Linked DNA regions of Mus musculus. The protein of the gene in region 1 interacts with the protein of each later gene in a biochemical or structural test. Links are inferred from orthologs where the notes say so. Each region holds a gene or a part of one and is shown on either strand. Other genes may lie near its edges. The genes, in order: Ube2k, Anapc11 and Rlim.

Region 1 (3,984 bases):
CCACATGGTGGCTCACAACCATCTGCAATGTGATCTGACGCCCTCTTCTCCAGTGTCTGAAGTCAACTACAGTGTACTCATATACTTTAAATAAATAAATAAATATTATGAAAAAGAAAGAACATTTTAAAAAATTATTTTTATTTGATGTACATTCATGTTTTGCCTACATGTACGTCTGTGTGAAGGTGTCCAGAAACTGAACTTACAGACTGTCATGAGCTAAAATGTGGGTGATAGAGAACTGAACCTGGGTCCTTTGGAAGAGCAGCTAATGCCCATAAGTGCTGAGTCATCTCTTCAGCTAAAGGGAACCCATTTTATAAGCACATTTTTAAAAATCTGAAGGTTGGCTGATAAATGCTTCCTTAAAGAGGAAGCAAGGAAAACAGAACACAATGACATAAACACGACTATAATTTTAAAAACTCTTGAAATCAAAGAATATCACAAAAGAGTTAAGTGTACAAGGAGAACTTAAGTCACACAGAACCTCTGCAATGTACATATCTGGACATAAGTGATAATGGAGTTCCTAACAGGTATTTGTTTATTCTTTATTTGTTATTTGTTTATTATGACATGATTTTATTATTATTTTTAAAGATTTATTTATTTTATATGAGTACACTGCAGTTGTCTTCAGACAGCCCTGAAAAGGGCCTCAGGTCCCATTATAGATGGTTGTGAGCCACCATGTGGTTGCTGGGAATTGAACTCAAGACCTCTGGAAGAGTTCAGAGTTAAGAGCAGTCTTAACCACTGAGCTATCTCTCTAGCCTGTAACATGATTTTATTATATGTGACAAAATTATTTTATTAAAAGAAACCATTTCCAAATTTAGTACAACATAGAATGTTAATATGCTAATATGAAATATTTAAAACTACACACACAGGTCTAAGAAAGTCTTTCAAAAGCTACTTTCTTACCTGATTCGCTACTACTGCATCTTGGGGGTCATCTGGTTCTGCAGCCGCCAACAGCGCTTGCAATGACAATAATACCGTGCGCAGAGTCATTGCTGCTGCCCTAAATTTCAAATTAGGAAAATATCACCGTTAAAAGGACTTTGAATGACATAAGCAAAGTCTGTTTTCTGAATGGAAACAAAAATACGCTAGAACTAAAAATTGTATAGTTAACTAACGTGTACCAATTACCAATTTTCTATTCTTCCAATGAGTCAATTTCTAAGATTATTCAAGTCACCTCACCCTCACCTTGCTGTTTTCTCTGCTTGTTCCATTTACTTACTTTGTAAGCTTTATCTTAATTAACATTCTTCTTAGATATTATGTGTGAGTTTCTGTCTCCATGTATGAATGGTGCTAAATGTCTGGTGCCCATGAAGGTCAAAACTGGAGTTCGAGATGCCTGAGTCACTGTATGGATGCTGGGAACTGAGGTCAAGCACTCTTTAAGAACACAGGCTCGCTCTTTCTTTTTCTTTTTTCTTTTTCTTTTTTTTTCTGAGACAGAGTTTCTCTGTATATCCCTGGCTGTCCTGGAACTCACTCTGTAGACCAGGCTGGCCTCGAACTCAGAAATCCGCCTGCCTTTGCCTCCCAAGTGCTGGGATTAAAGGCGTGCGCCACCAGTGTCCCGCTAGAACACATGCTCTTAACCACTAAGCAAGTTCTCCAACCACTTACCCATATTTCATTATAAAGTGATAATTTAAGTTACCAATACTAATAAACTGGAATTTTAAACAGACTTTTAAATGTCTAAATCATGCCTGCATAAGTGAACTTGAGTACAGGTGCTTGGAGAGGATAAAAGCAGTCCATCCTCTGCTGATGGAGTGGGTACCAAGGACTCCCCTGGGATCACTGCAGAGCAAGCAGCCCATGCCCTCAACCACAGTTAAGTCACTACAACTCTTTAATGGCATGCTAAGTAAAACACGGAGATAAAGATCAATCCATAGTATTCCAAAATAGGACAATTTTCTATTTAAAATATTACACTTGAGGTTGGAGAGATGGCTCACATTATATGCGTGTACTATTCTTGCAAAGGGCCTGTGTTTGCGTCCCAGCCCCCATTGCTGGCTTGCTGGCAAATGACCTAAAACTGCCGCTCCACGGGACTTACTGCTTCTGGCCTCTGGAGGAACCCACATAAACTATATACCCACACCAATACACAGACACAATTAGGAATAAAATTCAATCTCATAATTTAAGTCATGATCCTAATTATATTTATACCAAAAGCCCTTGTCTTTATGAAATAATTATTTGTTTAAAGTTTGCTTCACTAATCCTGAAATGTTTAGAATGTTGACAGGGCAATGATGGCACATGACATCTGGAAGGCAGAGGAACATGGATCTCTGTAAGTTCAAGACCAGCCTGGTCTCCAAAGCTAGTTCCAGGACAGACAGGGCTACACAAAGAAATCCTGTCTCAAGAAAATCTCAGAGCAAACTCTTCTAGAGGAATTTGACTGTCATCCTAAGTGAGGGCCTTGTAAAGTCAAGCACACTACACTATAGCTTTATCTCTAACCACAGTAAGTTCACTTTTTAACCACACAGACGGTTATTCTAAACCAGCCTTGTCTGGTTGAGTTCCTAATTCCTAAAATCAAACAACAAAAATTCCTAGTGACTATTTTCAGTTTCCTTGAATAATACACAAGAGACAACCCTAGATGTTCAGGCAAAAAGAAGAAAGAAAAGAGAAGAGAAGAGAAGAGAAGAGAAGAGAAGAGAAGAGAAGAGAAGAGAAGAGAAGAGAAGAGAAGAGAAGAGAAGAGAAGAGAAGAGAAGAGAAGAGAGAAAAGAAAAGGGAAAGGGAAAGGGAAAGGAAAAGAAAAGAAAAGAAAAGAAAAGAAAAGAAAAGAAAAGAAAAGAAAAGAAAAAAAGGAAGGAAGAAGGGAGGGAGGAGGGCGGGTGAGAGGGGGGGGAGGGAGAGAGAGAGAGAGAGAACACGAAGGAACTCAACTTTCTGGATGCAGCATATGTTAATGCAGTAAATGTCAGTAAATATTCTTCCTCTTACTAGTGGCATGAGTAGGTCTAGGGACTTGGTTTTGGGGACAGAGTCTACTATGTCATCTTAAGACAGATGAAAAACAGGACCCTCCTGTCTCTTCCTCCCAAGTGCAGGAACTTCAGGACTGTATTACTCATGCTCATTTGAGGACCTCACCTAAGACCTGCTCTATAAGAAGTTAGGAGTGGGGCTGGAGAGATGGATCAGTGGTTAAGAGCTCCGACTGCTCTTCCAAAGGTCCCGAGTTCAAATCCCAGCAACCACATGGTGGCTCACAACCATCCGTAATGAGATCTGACTCCCTCTTCTGGTGTGTCTGAAGACAGCTATAGTGTACTTACATATAATAATAAATAAATAAGTCTTTAAAAAAAAAAGTTAGGAGTGTTTGAGCAAATGGGCCAATGAAAATAACCAAAGACAGTATTTGTAGAACCCTGCTCTTTATATGCTAATTGGCAAGAGCTGTTCACACACAATGTAGGTCTATATTTTATATATTAAAATACCCACTATACACTAGTCTCTAAAATGATCTTAGGAAAGTCAGACATGGTAGCAAGCTCTATAATCCTAGCACTTGGGAGATGTAGGCAGGAGGTCTAGTTCACCCTAATATAAAGGAAGGCTCTGTCTAATATAAGGGCAGAGAAGAAAACAATTAGAATGAAAATGTCTAATTGATGAATGTAGTTTTCTAGAGAAGCTAGAGCAATTGTGGATCCTGGCATGATGCTTCCAGAACAGCTGGCACTGCCGGGCACAGTGATATAAACTTTCACACTTAGCACTTGGTAGACACAGAAGACTAGGACTGAGACCTGACTGAGACCTGACCCCTCCCACCAAAGACAGGCGCCAAAGACGGGCGTGGTGGCACACAACTTTAATCCCAGCACTCAGGAGGCAGAGGCAGGCGGATTTCTGAGTTTGAGGCCAGCCTGGTCTACAGAGTGAGTTCCAGGACAGCCAGGGCTA
Region 2 (4,084 bases), on another chromosome or scaffold:
ATGGTAATACTGTATAGCCAGACAGTTCGCTACTTTGTAGGCTTTTCTTTCTTCCACCTTTTCAACCCCCTAACTCTAGGTAGGAGAGAAAAAAGGATGGAGGGGAAGGGGGTGTTGTGTGATTATATCGTTCCTGCTGATTGGGGCTATAGTTCACTGGGGCAAGTCTGGTCTTCACAGTCAGGATATCTAATCTTTCCCTCTACTCCTTGTTTCTTCTTTGTACTAGACTACTTGACAAATCCTGACAAACTGAGTAACTGGGCTCTGGCGTTTATGTGTTCTTTGAAGAGTCCCTCAGAAACTATCTGCTGCCATGAAGTATCTGAGAAGCCCCATGTCCCACACCTGGGATCAAAGCAAAACCACATCCTTATACCATTTCTGTGGTTTTAAAGAAAGCAAAAATCTCACTACAGTGCACACCCTTAGTCCCATAGCTCAGGAGTCAAAGGTAGGAAGATCTCGGTGTGACTTTGTGACCAACCTGGTGTACATAGGGACGTTCAGACTAGCTAAGGCTATAATGAGATCCTGTCTCAAAAGGTAAATGTGAGTTTTTTTGTTTGTTTGTATGTTTTTTTTTTTTTCAAGATAGGGTTTCTCTGTATAGCCCTGGCTGTAGACCAGGCTGACCTCAAACTCAGAAATCCGCCTGCCTCTGCCTTCCAAGTGCTGGGATTAAAGGTGTGTGCTGCCACCACCACCACCTGGCGTAAATGTGTTTTCCTCTCAAGGTAATCAAACATTTCTACCTCATGTAACACACCAGAAACATAGGAGCCATACAAACAAAAAAAGGGTAAAACCTTTTGCATTCTGCAAAACACATTATGATCATAAAATTCAAGCCCCTTCAAAACGGAAGTAGAGTAAGAAGAGGCTATTTAGATCAAAGAGGAAGAAAGACCAAGAATACTGAGATGCTGAGTATAGCCCAAACCCCAGTAATTAGACATTAGGGAACAGATGTTGGCCCAGGATGCTACAGAGGTAAGACTTGGCTGAAGTGTGTTTATAGTTTATAAGCATCTATTTAGAGTTTACAATTCTTAGCACAAAAAGCCCAGCAAGCATGACAATATGGCAACCAATGTCTGAACTTCAATTTGCTAATTTGATCTGCTTTATTGTGAGTAGATACAAACTGAAAGTGTTATTCTGAGGGGTTAAGGGAATGATGGATCATCACTATGTAGCCTAGGCAGACCTCAACCTCAAAATCCTCTTGCCTCCCTCTACTAAGTGCTATTATGGTCTGTGCCCCCATGACCTGAATAAAACAAGTGTTTTTGCAACAGAGTCTCACTGTGGAGCCCAGACTGGCCACCAACTCAGAGATCCACTAGTCTCTGCCTCTGCCTCTCAAATGCTAGTATTACAGGTGTTTGCCATCATGCTGGATGGGGTCTTTAGACAAACCTGGGCTTGAAGTATTCTGCTTCTTTTTTCTGTCGACTTTCCCCTCAGATAATAGAAACTAAAACCCACAATTTTTTGTTTTTGTTTTACCTGGTCTTTTATCAAGTCAGGGCTTTTCTTTGTAGCCCTGGTTATCCTGGAACTTGCACTGTTTGGCTTTTTGTTTTTGTTTTGTTTTGTTTTTTGTTTTTTTTTCAAAACAGGGTTTCTCTGTGTAGCCCTGGCTGTCCTGGAACTCCCTCTGTAGATCAGGCTGGCCTTGAACTCAGAGATTCACTTGCCTCTGCCTCCAGAGTGCTGGGATTAAAGGCGTGCAACACCACTGTCCGGTGGGGTTTCGGTTAGGGTTAGGTAACTTGTCCTGTTGACCAGGCTAAACTCAAACTCAGAGATCCTCCAGTCTCTGCCTACCCAGTGCTGGGAAACCTAGGGATTTTTAGGCTGGTGGAGTAGGCTAAAGTTCTGAGAGCGCATAGGAAGACACTTACAGTCTGGACAGCAGCCATTAAACGCCATCCTGCAGATGCCGCAGTTCTCATCATTGGCTACCCAGAGCCAAGTGGCCACACCATTCCAACATTTAATTTTCACCTTCATGACAACAGAGCCTGTGACCTGAGGGAAGAGGATGACCTGGAGTTAGTACGGAATACGAAAGCACCTAAGCTCAAAGTCATGGAGCTGCGGCAAGTGCTGCACTCGTCAAGAACGGCATCTTCCAAAATTCCGTGCGTCCCGACCAAAAAGAAAGAAAAAGGCACGTGTTTGTCTTTAAAGACGGCAAGGAGAGCCTGTGGGATTAATGGCACGAGTTTATTTTGCCACCTTTAAGGATGCCTTTAAAGATCTGCACTCATGTAGTCTGGCACGGTGGCACACGCCTCTAATCCCGGGGCAGAAGCAGATCAGCCAAACAGGAAACGAAAACAAACAAAAAAACAAAAACAAAACCTCCGCATCCACGCAAAACATTGGTTTTCACTAACCAGGGCCTCGCTTTTAAAGATATGGAAAGAGTGACTGTCACTAATCCGCGAAGTTAAAGCAGGGGTGAGGACGCCAGCTCGTCAGGAGACCGAGCCTTCGAGCAAAAACAACCAAGTCGGACCCACGGACCGGCCGGGACCCCCACGATCGCACGGTGAGGAGGGACGCGGGACGCGCACACTGCGCTGCACCCAGGCGACGCCCGAGGATCTTCCGGCCTCCCAGGGAGGCGCCCGCAGGCCCCGCCCCCTGCTCGCCCTCGCACCTCCGCGGCCTAATCACGAGGCGCCCCGCCCTTCCGTTGCCTCCGCGCGGGAATGTATAAAAACGACCGCGCCGCGTCGGGCTCCTCCGAAGTAGCGCCAGCCACCGCGGCGAGCCGTACGCAGGCGCTCTGCGGAATCGCGCGCGCCCAGACCAATCGCCGCTCGCTTCGGGCCCGCGACGCCGGAAGGCAGGGGGAGGCGCCGGAAGTGACGCCGCGGCGTGCTGACGCGCGGGCTCGATCCGAGGCCCGAATCCGCGCCCGCCATGGCCGACAAAATGGACATGTCTTTGGACGACATCATTAAGCTGAACCGGAGCCAGCGAGGAGGCCGCGGCGGGGGCCGGGGTCGCGGCAGGGCCGGCTCCCAGGGCGGCCGCGGCGGCGCAGTGCAGGCCGCCGCGCGGGTGAATCGAGGCGGCGGGCCTATGAGGAACCGGCCCGCCATCGCCCGCGGCGCCGCAGGCGGCGGCAGGAACCGGCCGGCGCCGTACAGCAGAGTGAGTGCGGGGACCTGCGGCGCGGGCCGGGGAGGGTGCGCCCGGGCCGGCCGGGACCGGGTGAGCGTCCCGCGCGGGACCGCGGCCGAGGGGTGGGCGGGGGCGAGGCCGTCCCGAGGCCAGGATCTTCCGGGACGCTTTGTCCGGTCGTGGTCCAGCCTCGTGGCGGCGGGGGCCGCTGCGAGAGAACTTGGGTGTCCGTAGCGGAGCGGCGGGGCTGGGGGACTCTCGGGGCTCCTCGACCTTGGCCGCGGGGCCGACGGGAGAGCGTCGCCGAGGTGTCGCGGGCTCCCGGGACGAGTCTCACGAGTGTCTCTGTGCTTACGGTTTCTCTCCAGCCGAAACAACTTCCCGACAAATGGCAGCACGACCTCTTCGACAGCGGCTTCGGGGGTGGAGCCGGCGTGGAGACCGGCGGGAAGCTGCTGGTGTCCAACCTGGACTTCGGAGTGTCAGATGCTGATATTCAGGTAGGAGACGGGAGCTCTCCGCTTTCCTCGTCCCACGCGGACGTGGGCTCCAGGATCCTTTACAGATTGGAACCTGCCCTCCCCTAGGCTGCCCAGAGCCAGCCACTGTCACCCTGAGAGCCTTGGCCTCAGAAAAAGTAGGGTTTGAGCACGACCCCATAAGCCAGGCTGCAGGAAGATGTCACACACTGTGTGTGTATGTGTGTGTGTGCGCGCGCCCCCCTAAAAATGAGTCCTGTCTGCTGTCCAAACTGTGAGCGCCTGCCCTGTGCCAGAGCTTACAGTTTCTAACCTGCACAGACTGGCCACAACTCCGGTCCCAGCATGACCGAAAGGTGCTTGCTTCTCAGATTTATGCTCGATATGGTGAACTGATAGGAGAAGGAAGTCCAGCATCTCCCAGATGCTGAGAAAGGTGGCTGAGAGTATCTTCCAGCCTG
Region 3 (3,984 bases), on another chromosome or scaffold:
ATCACCGCTGTTTGGATTAGTCCGGCTCACTGCTCTCCAGGACTGGTTTCCTCTCTGACCACTTCTTGTTGTATTTCCAGTCTGTCTGACTGAGTTAAGCCAATCTATTATAGAATCACTGTTGGTCACATCATCTGAAGACTCTCCAGCTGTTTAAAACAAAGAAGGGGAAGGGGAGAGAAAGGAACTACACGATTAGGACACTCATGGGATGCACATAAACATTAAAGAATTGTGCAACTCGGAACAAATTTTACAAATTTACATTGAAAAGAGAAAGCTAAAAGACACTTAAGCGTCAGCAGTTCTCAACCTGTGGGTTATGACCCCTTTGGGGGGCTCAAACAACCCTTTCATGGCTTTCATGGATGTCAACTAAGACCATCTGCAGATCAGATATTTACATTATGATTCATAACAGTAGCAAATTACAGCTTTGAAGTAGCAATGAAATAATTTTATGGTTGGGGGTCACCACAACTTGAACTGTATTAAAGGGTCACATCATTGGGAAGGTTGAGAGCCACTGCTCTAGAAGATGCTGAGGCTGTGGGAAGGCATGAATTTTCCAGGCCACTGTCTAAACAAAATCAAACTACATCATCATAGTCGGGGGTGGGGGTTGGGGGAGTGTTGGGGTTTTGGTCCAATTATATTTCTACCAAATTTTCATCAGTTTTAGCTGTCTTTGATACCACGAAGTTGTTTTAAAATGTAAGAATATTTATTACAGCCAGAGCAAAACTATAAACAAGGCTAACAGTTTATAATTACTTGAATATTTGTCAATTATCAAGATTTTCAATTTCTATAAAACTAAAGACTATTATTAAATGAACAGTCTGAACCTAGAGTAATTTACACTTCCATCATAGCTCCTAGGTTCCTGCAGAGAAGCACCATTCCCCAGCATACTTGCTCTCTGATACTAACAGCAAACTCTCATCAGCTGTGCCACCAAACATGTCTCCAGTCATTGCTAACAGCCCCCAGGAGGAACAAACACCCAACTGAAAGGTGCTGGGCTAACAACAGCATTTCCTTTTGCTGATAAAGCCACATTCATAAATAAGGAATGAGTAGGAGAACATTTCAACGGATGTAGAAAACCAAGGGGAGGAAACTCAACTTAAATAGGTGACTTTCACTGTTGCTCAATTAACAAACAATCCAAAGGTGAGGCAGACACAGCAGTGTCACCCTCCTCCCCAAATAGCAAGAGCATGACATTTCTCTTTTTATGAGTACTTAGCACCAGATTAATTTGTGGCATTTCTGGATAATCTTTGGTTGAAATTCACTATTCGAAAGTTCCTATGTTTCCAACCCCGACCCACCTCCCCAAACAAAATGTACCTCTATTTTCATCGGGGCTCTGTGGTGGTGGACCCTCTTTAATTTGTTGTAGTCTTCTGAGCAACTCTTCCTCAGTACTTTCACCTGAAAGTTGAACATGTGTTGCAAAATTACAAATTAAGAACAGCAGGTCAGTTTCTGTCTTTTCCACACCCCCCCCAATGATTCTTTTTAAAGAAGGGTCCATACAAGATGACCTCAAACTCAAGAACCTCCTGTGCAATTGGGATTACAGGCAAGTGCCACCATGTCCTGTCAGGCTTTGTGATCTGCACTTTAAACTGTTTTGCCAGAAAGCAGGGTAACTGAATAACAGCAGGGCCAGAAGTGCAGTTAAGACATTCTAATTAAAGTTTAGTACTGTTTGCTCAAAAAGCTCCGCCTAAGCCTTGCTAAAACCCTAACATCTGAAAATGAATGAAAGTGATTACTTACTCTAACTCTCCTTTCTCCCCTCCCTTCCCCCCTTCTCTCCACGTGGCCATGACTGGTCTCCCTCTTTCTACCTTCTCTCTGCATTTCTACAATAAAGCTCTAAAATCATTGAGAGAGAGAGAGAGAGAGAGAGAGAATGAATATGAATGAAATCGTCCACAGGTTAGTGGAAATAGTCAGTTGTAACTAGGATCAAATGAGACCATACCTCAGTGAAATTATAACTAAGGACAAGCTGTTTACCCACAGCTAACTCTGTAGGGTTGCAGGTGGGACACATTCAGAGAATAAGATGAGATGACAAAATGAGTCGATGAGTCTATCCTCGACACCAAAGGCCCATTGGTTATTTTGTACCCAGATGCATAGCTAGCTAAACTGTTCACCTCAATTCTTATTTGATCCATTTCACTAAAGATTTATAATTCAAAAATCACAAACATCTCTGACAGGAATACTCTAATTATGAACCAGGCAATAAATATAGTAGCAGCCGGGCGTGGTGGCGCACGCCTTTAATCCCAGCACTTGGGAGGCAGAGGCAGGTGGATTTCTGAGTTCAAGGCCAGCCTGGTCTACAAAGTGAGTTCCAGGACAGCTAAGGCTACACAGAGAAACCCTGTCTCGAAAGACCTAAATAAATAAATAAATAAATAAAGTAGCAACTGCCATTTTGCATCTCCTGTATTAGTAACTTTTCATTAAGTAAAGAAACATTATAAAACAAGCTGTTTCTTTAAAAACCCAGCAACATATATATATATATATATATATATATATATATCACATATTACATGCAGCTTACCTGGGGTGCCCAGCAAATTGTTGTCTCTCATAAGTCTATAATCTTCTTCACTGAGATTATTCACAAATTGATAGAAAGCCTCTTCCCGATCCAAGCGATCCATTTGACTTCTGCGCTGAGCTGCAGACTGGTCACTTCCTTTATCGTTAGAATCTGAGTTCTCCATCTTGGTGATCAAGTGGAAAATTATCTAAAAAGCAAAAAGACCAAATTGAAAACAGACGCCATTATGCATTGCGTACCTTTATTTACTTGGAAACTACAATGCAGGAATAGATGTGAACTTTAAGAAAAACAAATAAATTAAATATAACAAAACTTTGGGAAAGCACTGGTAAGGTAGCAACCATAGTGTTTGTTTGGGCCTAATTCAGTAATGTGGCCTATTTTTATCTTCTTTGTAATCTAAAAATGGCTTTTTACATGGTAGGAAGTGAACCTAGGGCCTTCCTTGAATACGTCCCACCATGAGGATACACATCCAGCTCCTGGGTTTGATAGTTATTTCAGCCAGGGAAGTCTGTGTGGTCCAGTCAACTCAAACACGGTTCTCCGGCCTAAGCCTCTTAAGTGCTGGGCTTATAGACATGTGCCATAATGCTTGGCTATTTTCACATTCTCAAAAATGTTTGCCGTGTATGAAAAATAGGAAATACACACCAGTATCCCTAGTCTTAGTGAAGCACAGCCATGCATGCTTGTGTTATGGGTGAAATGAGCAACTGGGACAGACTGTAAGTGGGTCCCTCACTACTTTGCACCGCTGCTCTCTGCACTTCCAGTTACCTCAATGCACTTGCAACTTGATATGATTTCAAGTATGGCATGTGTATCATCCTGTGACTTTTTAAAAACATGCAAGTATAGACTCTTTGCAGTAACTGAGAAACACATTTGAACAACACATATAAAAAGCACAGCAGAGGCTACCTACTTTTTTTTTTAAAAGATTTATTTATTATTTTATGTAAATACACTGTAGCTGTCTTCACACACTCCAGAAGAGGGCGTCAGACCTCGTTACGGATGGTTGTGAGCCACCATGTGGTTGCTGGGATTTGAATTCTGGACCTTCGGAAGAGCAGTCGGTGCTCTTACCCACTGAGCCATCTCACCAGCCCGGCTACCTACTTTTAACCGCATTAGATGACCAAGGTTGCACTTTGGCAGATACTATCAGTACGCTAAAGTAGTATAAAATTAGACTAAAATATTTGTCAAAATGGTCCCAATTCAAGAAAAAAAATCTATGCTCTGCTAATTAGAAAACCCAAGGTGAAAGATCTCGTCTAAAACATTTCATTAAAAAAATACATTGTACTTTTATTTAGCTGTTAAAAATGGAAATTTACAGGTCAGTGGATGAAGCTAGAAAAACAACCTGAGTA

The links.
Region 2: the proteins of Ube2k (region 1) and Anapc11 form a complex in vitro, tested with the Homo sapiens proteins (3 studies listed by BioGRID). The link is inferred for Mus musculus from reciprocal best matches to the Homo sapiens genes UBE2K and ANAPC11.
Region 3: the proteins of Ube2k (region 1) and Rlim form a complex in vitro, tested with the Homo sapiens proteins (2 studies listed by BioGRID). The link is inferred for Mus musculus from reciprocal best matches to the Homo sapiens genes UBE2K and RLIM.

What each region holds. Positions count from the first base shown.
Region 1 is NC_000071.6:65,588,925-65,592,908, reverse strand, and holds part of Ube2k (ubiquitin-conjugating enzyme E2 K), read right to left. Parts: intron 1,034-3,984; coding exon 934-1,033; intron 1-933. UniProt on the Homo sapiens protein: Accepts ubiquitin from the E1 complex and catalyzes its covalent attachment to other proteins. In vitro, in the presence or in the absence of BRCA1-BARD1 E3 ubiquitin-protein ligase complex, catalyzes the synthesis of 'Lys-48'-linked polyubiquitin chains.
Region 2 is NC_000077.6:120,597,195-120,601,278, reverse strand, and holds the start of Anapc11 (anaphase-promoting complex subunit 11), read right to left. Parts: upstream 2,748-4,084; 5' UTR 2,409-2,747; intron 2,038-2,408; 5' UTR 2,020-2,037; coding exon 1,911-2,019; intron 1-1,910. Other genes in the region: Alyref (THO complex subunit 4), read left to right, coding at 2,941-3,174, 3,513-3,644. UniProt on the Homo sapiens protein: Together with the cullin protein ANAPC2, constitutes the catalytic component of the anaphase promoting complex/cyclosome (APC/C), a cell cycle-regulated E3 ubiquitin ligase that controls progression through mitosis and the G1 phase of the cell cycle.
Region 3 is NC_000086.7:103,963,895-103,967,878, forward strand, and holds part of Rlim (E3 ubiquitin-protein ligase RLIM), read right to left. Parts: intron 2,787-3,984; 5' UTR 2,763-2,786; coding exon 2,597-2,762; intron 1,441-2,596; coding exon 1,357-1,440; intron 150-1,356; coding exon 1-149. UniProt on the Homo sapiens protein: E3 ubiquitin-protein ligase.